Oreochromis niloticus: one gene and its partner. The protein of the gene in region 1 interacts with the protein of each later gene in a pairwise test. Links are inferred from orthologs where the notes say so. Each region holds a gene or a part of one and is shown in the gene's direction. Other genes may lie near its edges.

Region 1 (7,496 bases):
GGGAAAATGTACTGAGTATGTGTATCATTTCTCAAATTTAAACTTTATCATTTCCACCCCTGCAGATGAATACAGGCTGAGTGAGAAGAGAAAGCGGACAGGAGACATATTCCAGAACCTGAAGCTAGGGCCCTTGCTATCTAGTGGTACGTTGATAAGATTTTTTTTTTTTCTGTCAGCTGAGCATAGTGTAATTGGATAATGGTTACACTGTTGTAACTGCACGGTATTATAAACACGTCTTCTGACATTTCAGTGACCACTCCACAAGATAGACAGCACCTAAACCCATCAAGGAGAAAGCTGACAGCCAAGCCTCCACAAGCTGGTGAGTCTGTTTCAGATGTTCCTTCCTTATTTGAACTCATTTGAAGACATACAGACATCTCCTCATCTTCCTTTCTTAAGGCAGTTGAGTCATTAGCGGTGAACTTTGTGTATGTGAAATATGTGAGAAGGATTTTCTGCAGTGAGTTCTCAAATCACTTGTTTGTGTTTGCAGCAGCTGTGGTGCCTACTGGTCCCCTTGGGGCAAAATCACATACCCAATACTTCCAACCTGGCCAGCTATTTTCAGAGCAGACAAAGGTAGAAGCCTCTAACATGTCAGCAGCTCCTACCAACCAGTGGAAGATGACAGGCCTGGGCTCCCAACCAAAAGCAAACCCAGTGTCTAGCTTTTCAATGAACCCATCACCGGCCACCGTCTCCTCTACCATCGCTTCCACTTCCAATCAGGACTACTCAACGGTCAACCTGTCAGATCTTCATGAATTCTTCCCCAACATTTCCTCGACTATCACCCAGCAGGAGCCCTCAGCTTCTCAAATAAACTTGGCCTCCTCACAGACAAGCAACTCCTTCGCCCTCCAGAGCACTCAGTTCCGGGCGGACCCAACACTTGTGGATGACGATATCCCAGATTTCCCTAGCTTCACTGAAGGCCAGGTCCCAGTCAACCTGGACAGCCTCAACATGGATGACTTGGAGGATCTTCTGAACCCCCAGCTTGTTGGTGTAAATCATCCTTCATGTCATCAGACTGGCCCTTCAGCCTCCTCTACCGCTGCCCAGACTAGTGCAGCACCTCAGAACACTTCTGACCCTGCCAGCACTCCAGGAAGCACTTGGATGAATTACCCCAACAGCATCGTGCATCTGCTCCAGAACGAAATCATGACAGACAGCAGACCCAATAACAACCAAATGCTCGAAGACTTCGATGAGTTGATGTCTGCAGATGAGGACCGTCTTATTTCCATTTTTAACAGTGGAAGCCAAGCTGGGTTTGTGTCAGGACACCCGACTTAAAGTTTGTTTCATTTTTCCAAAGACCAGTTGTATCTTCCCCTGTGGCCATCAGGACTAAAACTTCTTTATTATTGTAAGGCAAAAAAGGAAGTAGGCAGGAGACCGAATGTAGCAGCACTGCTCACTGTGGACACACTTCTTAAAATACCAGCAATGACTTTATGGTATTCAGTCTGACGCCTTGCCCAGTCATATAGTTTGTCTGATAAATTACAAAACCCATAATGTAGGTGATCAGATTTCATGCCCTGTGAAACCCATGTCCAGCATCTGTGACTAAATGTTTAGGTCACTGTCAACATATTGATGGTGGAGACAGATTCTCCAGCGAATGTTTTAAGAAGACAGACAGCATGGGTACTTTGATAAAGGTATCCGGTGTGGTGATTATTTTTGGAACATGTTAAGCATGTTTTTGTACTGTTATTTGAACAATTTTGCTAGCTGTAGCCACAAAAATGTGCAGCTTTTCTCTTTTTTTGTCTTTATACAAAAGGGTTCGTATATATGTAATCAGATCTAGAGGTAAGTCTACACAGATTATGTCCGTTCTTAAAAATCATCTCTTTGGATTGCACCGTTGTTTTCTGAAGGTTAACACAAACTATCTGAATGTTCTAGAAACAAAATGAAGGTGTACATTTATCAAACAAGCAACATTACTATATACGTGCTTATACTAGAGATTGTGCTTTTTATCTGGTAATAGTTTCCACTGCTCTGTAATCAGTTTTTCTACACTTATTTTATCAGTAATGGCTGCATTTTAACTCAACTGTTTCAGACTTGCTATACTCTGCAGTAAGGTGCTTTACTGAAATGTAATTATGTTTTTACATGTATTATGAAAGTGGATCGTACTATAATTGTGCTTTTTTTTTTTTTGAGAATGAGACTAACTTTGTCAACATTCAAAACACTGTTTTGGCAATAAATACCACAACGTATAAAGATGATTTTCAAAAGAATATTTTACTTTGCAACTCTGTAACTGTTATACAGTACAAAGGAAAAAAAAATAAAGCCGAACGCAAGAGACAAATGTAAAATAGCAACAAGGAGTGCTTCACTGGATCTTCTGAAAATGTGCATACAAATCAAGGACGTTAGTCTTCTTCCCGTCACTCGAGCCTGTTAGAATCTTGTTAGTACTACTATTCTTGCTTATGTATACAATATTTTCAATACAAAAAAATCAAAGTGTTTCAGGTCATTCAGAAAATTTTACAACACAAAAAGAGACAAATTTAGTGGGGGGGTTTTCTAAAAAAAAAAAAAAAAAGGAAGAACTTGTGATCAGAATTCAACCAATGATGTTCTAAATAGTTGCAGGCAGAGGACTGTACTGTCCAACCCATCTCCTGGGATCATCACGCACCTCTTCACATACTGTTACAGCAAAGCTCCTCTCTTGGTCTGAGTAGCTTATGTTACCTCAAGATTGGTAACTTTGTTGATGATGTGGGAACGCCTGGGCACACACTCCAGGTCGAACTTGCTCTCGTATATGGTGGGGCAAACATTCCAGCGGTTGTTCCGATAGATTCCCAGGTATGTATACACATCTGGCTTGTAGGAGAGAGGGCATTTGACCCCTGTGGCACGAATGACTGAATCCAGCCTTATGACCTCATTCTCATCAGTGAAGTTCTGGTTATAGGCACAAATGACCTGCTTGCCCTCTGCCTTGCGGTCAAATGGGGTGACTTTAACGAGTGAGATCTTGCCATCTAGGGCTGCTCTGGCCACACATTCCCAAGCATGGTCCAACTTGAAACCAGTGTCCAAGTGCATAAGCCACTTGCCTGAGAGTACCCTATGGTTCAGGGCCAGCTCCCTCACTGTCTGGAAGGTGACAGGCCGGGAACTCGCCAAAAGTTTCTCCCAACTCTCCTGGAGTCCTGTGACATCCGCACCACTGGGGCAGTGGTTTGGGCCCACCACAGCAATCCACCCCACAGGGCTGACGCCACCCTCCTCGTCTCCAAATCTGGACACTTGGGAGGGCCGGTTACTCTCCAACCAGCCATCAAACTCGGATCTGGGAGTTCTTCTAGAGTCAAAAACAATCCAGGGGTCCATGTCTGCAGCCATGGCTTCAGCAGCGTAGGTCTCTGCAGCAAAGGGGGTCCTCATCTCGCCATCAACAGGGCCCTCTTCTTCCTCCATAATGGTATAGCAGTTACACGAGTAAACAAGTTCTGAAGCCTTCCTGTTGAGTTGAAGAATGCAGTTATTATTTTTATAAAAACCACTGGTTTAGCCTCTGTGTTAGCTTACAACCCCTTTGCTGTGATTTATTAGCTTACAACCCTGCCAAACTTCGACAGAAGTGGACAACTGAATTGCTTATGAATGCTAATAGCTAGCCTGCTACAACAGCGAAAGTTAGCGTTTCTCTACCACTGATTCTGTTTCACACTAAAGCTGCTATCGACCCCAGTGTACCGCCTACAGCTGACATGTCAAAGAACACGTAGAACAGCTTTCTGACTGCTTTAGCCTTGTTGTAGCTAGCCGACAAGCTAGTCTTTATAAATGTACACGCTCGTCCTTTTAGAGAAACATTAACCATTTCTAGCCAGCTGTTGAATACAACTGACGCTTTAACATTCACAGTTTTCCCATTTAAAACGTAAATAATCGCACGTCGATGTTAAACTTTGAACATAAAGGCTTACTCTACCCGTAGATGTCCAAGTTTGTTGTTCAGTGTTGATCTTCCGCATAAGCACAGCAGCTCCTCCGTATCTAAGAGCCAAAGTCCACTCAGGTGGCTGACAGTTTAACTAATAATTATTTATACATCAATTAAATTTCGTACCTCGTCCACAAATTCGACCGTATGGAACACATGATATAAATATATATTTTTACGTTTTGCTATAACATAATTATAAAAATAAGTTATGTTGTACTAGATTCAGCGACTTTTAAGAAACTTGCATGTTCCTCGGTATGTGTACATGTTAAATATGTAAGTTTCCTACATCAGTGTTTGTGTTTGTTAAGCTTTAAAAAATAAACCTGTTCCATTACTATCGTTAAAGTATTTCGTTTCTTTGCATTTGCGGAACAACATGCGCTCCAACCTGACGGCACGGAGACCCTGCGGAAACAAACTGACCGCACCGAGGAACGAGTGACGAAGACGACGTGCTAACTAGTTAGCCGGATAGCCACCACTATCTGGTGTGTGCGCGGTGGAGGCGAATTTCTGTATGAAATAGAATACGAATATAGCATATATTGTATTTTAGTTTAGTTTAGCCACCCAGGTAATTTAATTATGCCCAGCAAAAAGAAGAAATACAACGCCAGATTTCCTCCGGTAAGTTTAAACTGTGCTGAGCCGGTGTCAAAGCAAGCTAACGTTAGCAAAGTGTAACATGGAAAGCTAAGTTCTGTAACTAGCTTAAGTGGAATTCGGCCTCTTTTGTTGCTTAGAGAGCAGACAAGCCATCTAACACTCGCAAACCATTTAGTTTACAAAGCACGTGCCTTAGTGAAAAGTAGTTGATTTCATGAAGTTAGTGACCAAACATCCCCTATATGTCATTAGTTGGTGGTGTACACACATAGCAGGCGTGCTATTTAAGTTGGTCTACTAATTGACGTTGTTTTTAGCATCTCAAGCTAGGCTAAGCGGCACGCAAATAAATGTGAATAAATCCATTCTTTATTATAATAAGCTGCATAATGTATCTACAATCCTCACACTACGTGACTAGTGTAAAAGGAATGATTGCCGTTACTTTGTGGGGACCTCACATTATTCGATGTGGTGTACTGCAAACTCTTTACTAAGTTGTCCCTGAATTTCAGTGCGTTTTCACTGAAAATGATTTTTTTTTTAAGGAAAAGAAAATTTTAAGCGTTTCTGTAGACACATGCATAAAAATCGACCTTTTCTCATTTCAGGCAAGGATTAAGAAGATTATGCAGACAGATGAAGAAATAGGCAAAGTGGCTGCAGCAGTGCCTGTTATTATATGTATCCTTTCTGCCTGCAGTCGTCACTGTGCAAGTTTTGTCTTGAATGATAAATTGTAAAAGTCAAAGACTGATTAATAATTAGAGAAAAATGCTTCCTCAGTCTGTTGTGTTGTTGTGTCAAGTTGTCTATTATTGCATGTTTGATGATTTTAAAGTTCAAACACACAACTGCTTCACTGTACTTCCCTTATCCAAGATATCAGCGAGAGCCCTGGAGCTTTTTTTGGAGTCGTTGCTTACAAAGGCTTGTCAAGTCACCCAATCTAGGAATGCAAAGACAATGACAACGGCACATCTGTAAGTTCTGTGTTTGTCTTCATTGTGTTGCATTGTGTTGGAGATGAACTTCTTAGGAAGGCAAAGCCATCTGCTGTTCAGATATATGCTGTTCAGGTATATTAGGGTCAGAAAGAGGTAGTTGAAGAAAAGGGGAAAGTTGTTTATATAGAATTGTATTTGTTTTTATTGAGTGTGGCTGAAATGCTGTCAGGCCTTTATTTTCTTTATTTTTAAAGTGGACTCATGGTGAACTTCCAGCTCGATAATTTCATTCTTGGACTTTACTAAAGTAGCTTTGCTTGATTCACATTTAAAAATAACGATTATTCATAATATACACAATACACTTATTTTAAGTCAGTTTTCTTCTGATTAGTTTTAACAGTACAAAGTTCTTTCATCTCATTCAATCAAATTTCACAAAATGGGAATTGTGCAAAATTTCAGGTCTTCACAGTCATTAGTTTACTCAAGAAAATAATCCTCAGTGAAATGTTGAAAATAGGAGTGTTTTTGAATAATTCCCTAGCATAATTTTTTTTCTTTCTCATCTTCCTAAGAAAAAATTGCCTAAAACACTTTAAAGTAGATAATGTCATATTAAAATAGCCCCTCAAAAATGATATTGGAAAATGTCTAAAAACCTGGAAATATCATCCCTTGAAATATTTTTGAGAAAGCTAATAACAGCCAGGACCTGAAACTTTCTACGATTCCTATTTAGGATGTGTATCCTCCACCTGGAATGTTTTTTCAGGTAAGATGGTGAGGTGAGAAAGCATTTGATGAACTGACAAGGACTGGCCCTATACATTGCAAAAAGATAAATAAATAAATAAGTAAGGAAAATTATTATGAGCCGCTTTTGCAAAAAAAATGGCATCCTGTTACACAGCATGATTTACTGTGTGGTGGGAGCCTGATAGTGCTGTGGAGCACATTTGCAGCACATTGCCGAATCCCTTGTATCTGAAAGTATTTCTGGCCTGTGTAAGACAGAGCCCGCCAAAACAATCTTTCCCTGTGACTCAGACTGTATGTGTTGCTAAAATGAGTATGTACACCATTAAGCTTGCTGTCTTTTTGATACGAGCTTACATTTCACTTGGCAAGTAAGGCTGAGGAGAAAACTGTTCATATTTATTCACAGAAAGCAATGCATTGAGCTGGAGCAGCAGTTTGATTTTTTAAAAGACCTTGTTGCAGCGGTGCCAGACATGCAGGGAGAGGGGGAAGAGAACCACACCGAGGGGGGAGGAGAGAAAGTCCCACGAAGGTAATATTTGCTCACACAGACACCCAAACATGTAGAGAAAGAGTCATGATGCTTTGAAAGCGAAGGAGTATTTCACATACACAGTGAAAACACTCCAGGGTGATATGAGGCAGCCAATCCAGCTGCAGATAATTTGGACTTATTTCATTAAGCAGTTTGTAATTCAGTCTGCTCTGATAAGTGCACACACGCACATCGGTTTAAACTAAAAATGATTCGCACGAACAGACAGAATCTGTGCACGTTATCTTTTCCTCTTCTGGAAATGAGCACTGCTGTAAATTGGAACCGACAGCTGCGATATGTCTATAATCCTTGCAGTGTTACCGTACTCCTATGTTCCTTTAGTTTTGTGATTCTAGATTATCTCCCCCAAAATAACAGAAGAAAATGAAAGAGTTGGCCAGAGCAAAAATTAATTATTGAGGAATTGTAGACAAGAAAATGCAGTATTGACTGTCAGATCAGACACCGGCACCACAGCTAATTTGTAGCGGAGAGCTTGGCGGGCAATTAGACATGAATTAAATGAGTAAGAGAAGGCTTCTTTTCTCTGAAGACTGCGGCTGATTGGATTCAGATTCAATTCAAAGTGGTCGTAAAACTTGTAATGTTTAGACATTTGGTGTCAGCA
Region 2 (7,810 bases), on another chromosome or scaffold:
GTTTACTCAGAGTAAGTAACACCATCTTGTGATGGCTGTGTTTGCACAAAGAGAAGTGAATGAAAAAAGACAGCGGACTCACTTAACCTTCTGATCTCACAAAGTGCTGTTACACAACTCCCAGTCACTCCATGACCACCTTTATAACCATTCATATGGTTTAAATTTGGCCACTGCCCTCATGCCAAACCTGCTTTGGTTTATGTGACTGTGGCGAGGATTATGGCCGGTGTGGTGAGGCTTACAAGTGGCATAAATTATTCAGCATGGATCTCCGTCTCAGATTTCTAAAGAATGCGCTGCACAACATCACACTCTTGCGTCAGCCTTTGCATTAATCAGTGAAATAACTGCACATGTATACATTTGAGGTCCCTATGTAGAAGTAGGAAAAATAAACAGTCATTCAGCTTCTTTCAAAGCCACAAAGCACCAACAAAGACAAACAAACAGACCTGTTTCTATGGCAGTTAATTTCCCCCATATGCACATACAGCTCTCACCCACACACAAACACACGCGCACACAGAGTGGAGAGGGAAATTCAGCCTTTGGTTAGTTAGACTAACTAATCTAATGCTAGCTATGTGCTGGGGGAGGGCTTGGGATTGGTGGATGAATGCAATCAATAAAGATTTGTTGGATATACTTAGAGAAGAAAATGTAGTAATATGACAGTCATAAAGAATGATAATGTGGTGATGCAGCAGGAAAATGATGGATAACAACCTCTGAGGCCCTGAGGTAGTTGTTACTCTTTGTGCATCTGCATGTGTTTGAGACAAAGAAGCAGACTGAGCACATTACCATTTTTATGTCATTATGCTGTGACTTGTAACAATATCTCCAAGTGGAATCTGCACAGAAACAGCTGGCCCATTCAAGGGTTTTCGCTATCAGTGATATTAAAAAGCACGAGTCAGGCAAACATTTCACTAGAAAGACAAAGATTATACTGAAAGACAAACAAAAATATTTGAAAAGGCTTGGGGGGCATTTTTGGTCCATTGTAAAAGATTTGAATATAACAGAAGATCAGTCATTCCAGTAATTTGGTGAAACGGTATTTAATCTTGACACTGAACATTTCTTTACAATTTGCTTCCAAGGAGCCAGACGTTTCTTGTTTTTTTTTTCTTGAGCAATGGCTCGCCAGACTAAACACGGACTTATGAATCATTAAAGCATATAAAACGCACTCTGAATGACTCAAGAGATGAAATGAGTTGTGTCCACACATAACAGACAGCTTAGCAAAGTGTCAATTTTAAGTTAAATTTCTAGGCACTTTATTACTAGCAGCACATCACAAAAATCATACAATCTGTTCTCATTTCTTTAGCTGAATCTTCAAAACGCACAGGACATGAGAGCTGCATCTGACTTTTCAGTTGATCCATCTAATGTTCTCTGAAGCCTCATCAGAAATGGTCTCAGTGGAAGTGTGGCTGTCAAGAAGCCATTCTTATGGAAGTGAAACAGAGAGAAAAGGCTGAAGGAGCACTTAAAGCCACGTATGAAGCCTGATAATTTGGGCTGTTTTGAAGGTGTAAAGTGAAAGATATTTTCAAAGGTTAAAGGGATCTTGAGTAAGAAAAGCATTTTGTAACCCCATGCCATAGCCTGCTTAAGTGTAACCATTTTCCGCTTGCAGCAGTGCGTCTCTAATGGAGTAACCAGCACAGTCATAAACCTCACAGGCCGCTGAATTCTGCACATGTATGTATGTATGTTATATTTGTCATTGTTAGTAAATTACCATTAAGAGGGACATTTTCCTGTTGGTCTTCTTTTATGTTTCTGCTTTGCCTCTGTTTTGATCATTGCTAATAACATTTTTCAAATATTCATAAAGCTATTGCATATTAAAAGATTTATAAACGCATCACATGAGGCCATGTTTCAGGCAAATATCATTTGTGCAGCAAAAAATGAGATTATCTCGCTGTGCACAGCTGTCCTCTGTATCATTTCCTGAACAACCGAAACACATTGGAGTGTTCTTTTGTTTTTTTTGGTTCTTTTGGTAGGATAACCATACAAAAGCTTTTTTTCAACGAGCCAGAATCAGCCATGCTTTGCAGATATAAGATGTATACACTCATCAAAGAGTTACAGTCTCAGAGTCGTGGTACTGTTCAAGCAAACCTGAACCAAATCATGCTGAATGATAACCAATAACTGTAAACATGGTAAGTATTGCAGAGCTCTCGTAGCATGTGCATATTCCACACCTCAGTCACTGCTTTTATTTTTTAGCTCCATCTGGTGTTGTCCTGATGCACACTGACTGTCCTGGCTTATGTGCTGATGTAATGATAATGCAGTAGGTGCAGACTGCAGCTGAAAGCATTTTCTTTAAGCAACAGACATTAATATAAGTTGCAAACACAATTGTATTTGTGTTTATCTCACTCAGGTTTAGTTGCCTCAGATCCTTGCCTTTGTTATTTTGCTACCACAAAACCTGACCAAATCATATGAGTCTTTGCGACTGTGGTTTCCTGCATATGCCAAAGAATTATTACACAGACTGGTACTGAGTCACACAGACAAACTGACAGCAATCTGGCAGACCTTTGTTGCCTCTTATGAAAAGAAAAAAAAACTGTGCAGTTTAAAGATTTGTTTTAAATAAAGAAGTTTGAAAGATTCAGTTAACTTTTCTCAACTATTGAGCCACTGATGGGTTTGTGTTACAACACAGGCTAACCACAATCACAATTTGTGTCACAGTCTGGTGCAATGTGAGGTTTGTATTTGTTAGGTTATGCAGTACCATGTGTCTGTTGCATAGGCTGTTTTGGCCGGTAGTTAAAGGTTTGCTTTAGTGGTCTATCTGACAGTGTGAGGGGTATAGTCTACAATGAATGAAGTTCAACATAGCCAGGATTTCTTTGTGTTAGCTGGCTCGACACAAAACCAGAGATAACGGGATAGGAGGAGACAGCCGATATTGCTGGGCTTTTCTGCCTTGCGGATCCATTAGCCCTAAGGTTCGAGTAGGCCTACTCTCTGTGGTATCCTCTTACAGGAAAAAATTCGAAGATCACCACATAGTCACCAACACTTCCAAGTACGAAAAGGGACAGTGCCAATTATCACCACTTTTGGTAAAGAACAGTGGGCCCATGACCCTTCTTTCTCACAAAATGATCCCTATGAGTGCCTCCAATCAGAGATAAAAAAACAAACAAACATTAAAAATATGACAGTGAAACTTTAACCTGCATACAATTAGACATTAAAGGCTTATGATTCATGGCAAACTACCAGACTCAATGTTATGTATTTTATTTGTAGCAGTTAAAAAGGACAAAGCTGTAAAATTGAGTTGCACTAGCCAGTATTTTATCTAAGGTGCTAGAAAAAATCTTGTTTGATAGAGTTAGTGTGTTCATCTCTTCCCTGGATAATCAGTTTGGCTTCAAACCAAAGCATGGCACGGACATGTGCATATATGCACTCAAGGGAACAGTCAGTTTGTATAGGTCCTAAAATTCATCTGCCCTTATGTGTTTCATTGATGCCTCTAAAGCTTTTGATCGAGTGAACCCTGGAAAACGTTTTGATAAATTGAAGCGACGGAGAGTTCCTGGATAGATTGTGAGGATTCTGTCTTACTGGTACGCTCATCAGAAGATGCAGGTTAATGGGGAAGTGGCATTTCTGCCCCCTTTGGTGTTAGCAATAGTGTCAGACAGGGTGGGATTTTGTCTCCAATTTTATTTAATTTATATGTTGATGATGATTGTCCATACAGCTGAGAACCTGTAACACTGGATGTATATTAGGTGAAACATTGATGAATCATCATATGTATGCAGATGAACTGGTTGTTTTTAGTCCAAGTAGTGCTGGATTACAGTAGCTTCTTAATATTTGTACTGAATATGGTGTGCTATATGATATAAAGTACTACGCTGTTAAAAGTGCTATCTTGACATGTAGAACAAAGCAAGATAAACAGCTAAATTTCCTTGTGTTTAAACTGTCCGACGATACTCTTGAGGTTCATAAAAGGTGAAATACCTTGGTCACTTTATTACTGATTAAATGAATGATGATGATGATGACATATATGGACAACGTGGAAACTCTTTGTGCAGGCAAATACTATTACAGTATAATTTTAGCAATCACAGAGCTGACAGTGAGTGGTTCCCGTTACTCATTCACTCTGAGGAAGCACGGGTTGAAGTGTTTGTGTATTTATTGATTTCTAAGTAAATGTGTATTTTATGTATATTATGGTTTTATATCTTTCAAATATTTTATTTTTTTAATTAAGGTTTATATGTTGTGTTGTGTTTTGTTGTTTCTTTTGTTTAACTATGGACATAAAGTCTGTCGATAAAGATTGATTGATTGTTACCGTCCCACGGTGTAATGAAGGAGACATGACAGTCACTATACTTTGTCAGTAGTTCAAACTGAAATGAATTTTATTGACGAAATTCGTGGTGTTCTGTGTTTTTGCAGCTGCAGTCAGAAGCAGATTAGAATCAAGCATAACAACATTTATTTATGTTTTTATAGGTGTTTATAATGCATCCACGTTCCTGTGAAAGTCACTTCACACATCATTTAGTGGTTTTAGTACGGTTTGGCGATTAGCCAGATAAACAGACACGTTCATGTCACAGAAAACTCTAACGTTAGGCTGGCTTAGCTCGCGTAACCATTAATGTATTGTCATTGTACATCGTTCTTGACAATAAATGAAAATGTCCAAAAACAAAACAAATATTGCGTATTCATGTGACGCATTTTTACAGCCCAACGTAAAAGAAACTGAAGGCTACCTCTATTTAATTTGGTCTTTTTCTTTTCCCGTACTCATGTGGACACGTGATCAGAAGAGGTTATAAATAGAGGTGCCACACTCATTTGTTTCTTTGATTCTGAGGCAGAGTAAGAAGTGACATGGCCTCTACAAGCCGGTAAGTGATAGAGCCAAGTAAATGTAATACCTATACTTTCTTTGCATGTGGTTCTAAGATGTTAATTCATAAGAACAAATACTGGTGTGCGCCGTGGTTCCTAAAGCTAAAACACTATACGTCCCTGTGCTTACCGATCGGTGTTCGTTCCATTGTGCTATTTGTTAGCACAGCTAGTTAGCTGGCTAGCAGTTAGCCATTAGATGTTACCAGAAGTCGGTGTTTTTGTTGGACAGCGATGTGGTGCTGATGCTCCTGCTTTTTGCCACGTTATCGTCTTTGCATTGTAGACTTGTTTGTCCACATTTCAACTTTTTTCGTGTATTACAATGGTGTGAAGCTGAAACTGAAGCTAATGTGTTGTTGACGTTACCACTCAGTGAGCAGTTGTGAATCATTTGTAAACACACGCAGTTTCCCGTGCAGTCTGTCTACCTTTACACAACAGTGGTCTGACGTACCCTCCTTTAAGCACGTATAATAAATTACTGTAGTTTAGCAAATAATTTCTGCATTCAAAGTTACTAACATTATTGATTTTGCTATCAGTGGCACGGTAAGGATGTGCGTATGAAGGAGTAAAGTGCAGTTGATTGAGCTAATTTGACTGAGAGTTTCACATCCACTCTTTTAATGATTGCTATTGTGAAGTATTTCCCGTTTTCCTTGCAAAATGTAAAGAAGCGATGGATGTTTGGTTTTTTTTCAAATTCAATATTGTACGTATGTAATATAGGGCTGGGTGTCGTCACAGATTTCTAGAATCGATTCGATTCCGATTCACAAGGTCTCGAATGGATTCAATTTGAATCAGGGAAATTTTGCCTCAGACAGTCAGAAATATTATAAATCTTATCATTTATCAGTACATATCCATATTTTTATATCTATAAAAAGAAAGCTGACACTTGTGAGACTTTATCAAAGGTGTAAGCATCACAGCAGATGCCTTTGTGTCAAAGTAACTTAGGATAAAACACAGAAAATCGATAATCAAAACCCACCCCTAATGTAATATAAATCAGAAATCCACCAACAGTGAAGAGATTACCATCCATGATCTAAAAAAAAAGTGGGTTACAGTTTAATTTGCCAGTGACAGAAATGTACATTTGTGTATAACACCTTGTGTGGTTACAGACCCGGAAGGTCATGTATTGACAAGCATCTGTCAAAGAGATGTGGATTTCTCTTGATTAAACAGATAAAAAAAGATACCTTATTTGTTTCATCCACCCTTAATCAGAAACCTCCCACTCTTTGACTGTTCTGTTACTTTTCGTCATTGCGGCAAAGAACAACACCCACTACTCTCACAGATTACCTAAACTAAGTAAGAATGTATATCTCTATATATAACTCAAGAAAATCTCCTTTCAACTAACCGTGAAATGAACATAAATTCTCAGGTTTCTCACACAGGACGTTATTCCTGTATTTACTTTTGTTGCTTCCACCCCAGACACATCTGGCCAGTGAGCGGACTGAACATTCTCATATGATTTGTTATGACCAGAGATGGGCAGTAACGCGTTACTGTAATCTGATTACTTTTTTCAAGTAACGAGTAATGTAAGGGATTACTATTGCAAAAACGGTAATTAGATTACCGTTACTTTCACGTAGGAACGCTGCGTTACTGCGTTACTAAAACCGTGATTTTTTTGAGAGAACGTCTCATGACAGTGACGTAAGCGAGTGCGACGTTCCTGACAACAGCTGTGTGCAGATCATAATATATCGAGTGCGGGACAGAGTGTAGCATGCAGCGTTTAAAGCGTGGAAGTACTGACCTTATTTTGAGTTTGATTCCATAAAAAGTGACAAAAACATTAGTGTCCGTTGTGCGTGGGAAGAAAACTTTTTACAGCGAAAAAAACCCCCTAAACTTCCAAGCAAGCACAGAGTGTACTGCGACGTAATGTGAAATTCACAGAGAAACTCGCGGATTCTTCCACTGACCGCTGCGGCACACCTGCACCAGGGTAAACCTCCGCCTACCCCAGTCCTGCTTTACAGGTGAAAATAGAGCAACAGGACCGCTAGTCTTTGATTTTATTTATTTTCTGCTGTGTTTTACTTGCATCTATTTGAAAGAGTGAGTGTAAACACAAAAACATATTTTATTTTATGAGCTGGAATGTGCAGAAAATAGGTTTAAATGTTAAACAAATTTCTTCCAGTCAGAGAATGTTGCATATAATTAAGTTTTTGCTTAATGCATAAAGTTAAAAGATTAACACTAATAAAACAAGCTTTAAAAAGAGACATTTCCATTTGATTACATTTTGTATGATGGATTATGCAGAAAAATCTATCGCTTTATCACCTATTCAGGTTGTAAATCGTGTTTTTAAAAAGTAACTAAGTAAGTAATTACTTTTGAAAATAAGTAATCAGTAAAGTAACGGGATTACTTTTGGGGGGAAGTAATCAGTAATTAGTAACTGATTACTTTTTTCAAGTAACTTGACCAACACTGGTTATGACACATTTTTTTTATTCGCTTGACATTCACTTGAATTTTTCTGTGTGAAAACAAACCAAAACACGGGGAAAAGCAGCAAGTTTGCAAACTGATCAGCTGAGTCAGACCAGAGTAAAATAATTTTGTGAAAATGCCCTAAAATTTTTTAAGCTTTTTTTTTTTAACGAGATCAGAGTTCAACAATCTCAGGCTCAGTGGGAGAGAGAGTTCCAGAGTCTGAATTGTTTCTCATTTAGTTCTCAGCCTTGTATGATGCACAGCCGACAGGCCCTGATCACATGACTTCAGGGAACCTGCCAGGGATGTAAAAGTTCACTGATGTACAATTGTGCCTGTCCATGCATAACCCTAAAAGTCAAACCCAGGATCTTAACGTGGA

What was found. The genes of interacting proteins can lie anywhere in the genome.
Region 2: the proteins of drap1 (region 1) and gtf2b interact in binary tests that used the Homo sapiens proteins (3 or more experiments, as listed by UniProt). The two-hybrid records come from large-scale screens. The link is inferred for Oreochromis niloticus from reciprocal best matches to the Homo sapiens genes DRAP1 and GTF2B.

What each region holds. Positions count from the first base shown.
Region 1 is NC_031967.2:4,878,435-4,885,930, forward strand, and holds the start of drap1 (dr1-associated corepressor), read left to right. Parts: upstream 1-4,452; 5' UTR 4,453-4,600; coding exon 4,601-4,642; intron 4,643-5,232; coding exon 5,233-5,305; intron 5,306-5,510; coding exon 5,511-5,604; intron 5,605-6,736; coding exon 6,737-6,862; intron 6,863-7,496. Other genes in the region: rela (transcription factor p65), read left to right, coding at 66-146, 257-328, 503-1,311; lg3h11orf68 (UPF0696 protein C11orf68 homolog), read right to left, coding at 2,737-3,480. UniProt on the Homo sapiens protein: The association of the DR1/DRAP1 heterodimer with TBP results in a functional repression of both activated and basal transcription of class II genes.
Region 2 is NC_031982.2:10,684,430-10,692,239, reverse strand, and holds the start of gtf2b (transcription initiation factor IIB), read left to right. Parts: upstream 1-4,804; 5' UTR 4,805-4,926; coding exon 4,927-4,943; intron 4,944-7,810. UniProt on the Homo sapiens protein: General transcription factor that plays a role in transcription initiation by RNA polymerase II (Pol II). Involved in the pre-initiation complex (PIC) formation and Pol II recruitment at promoter DNA.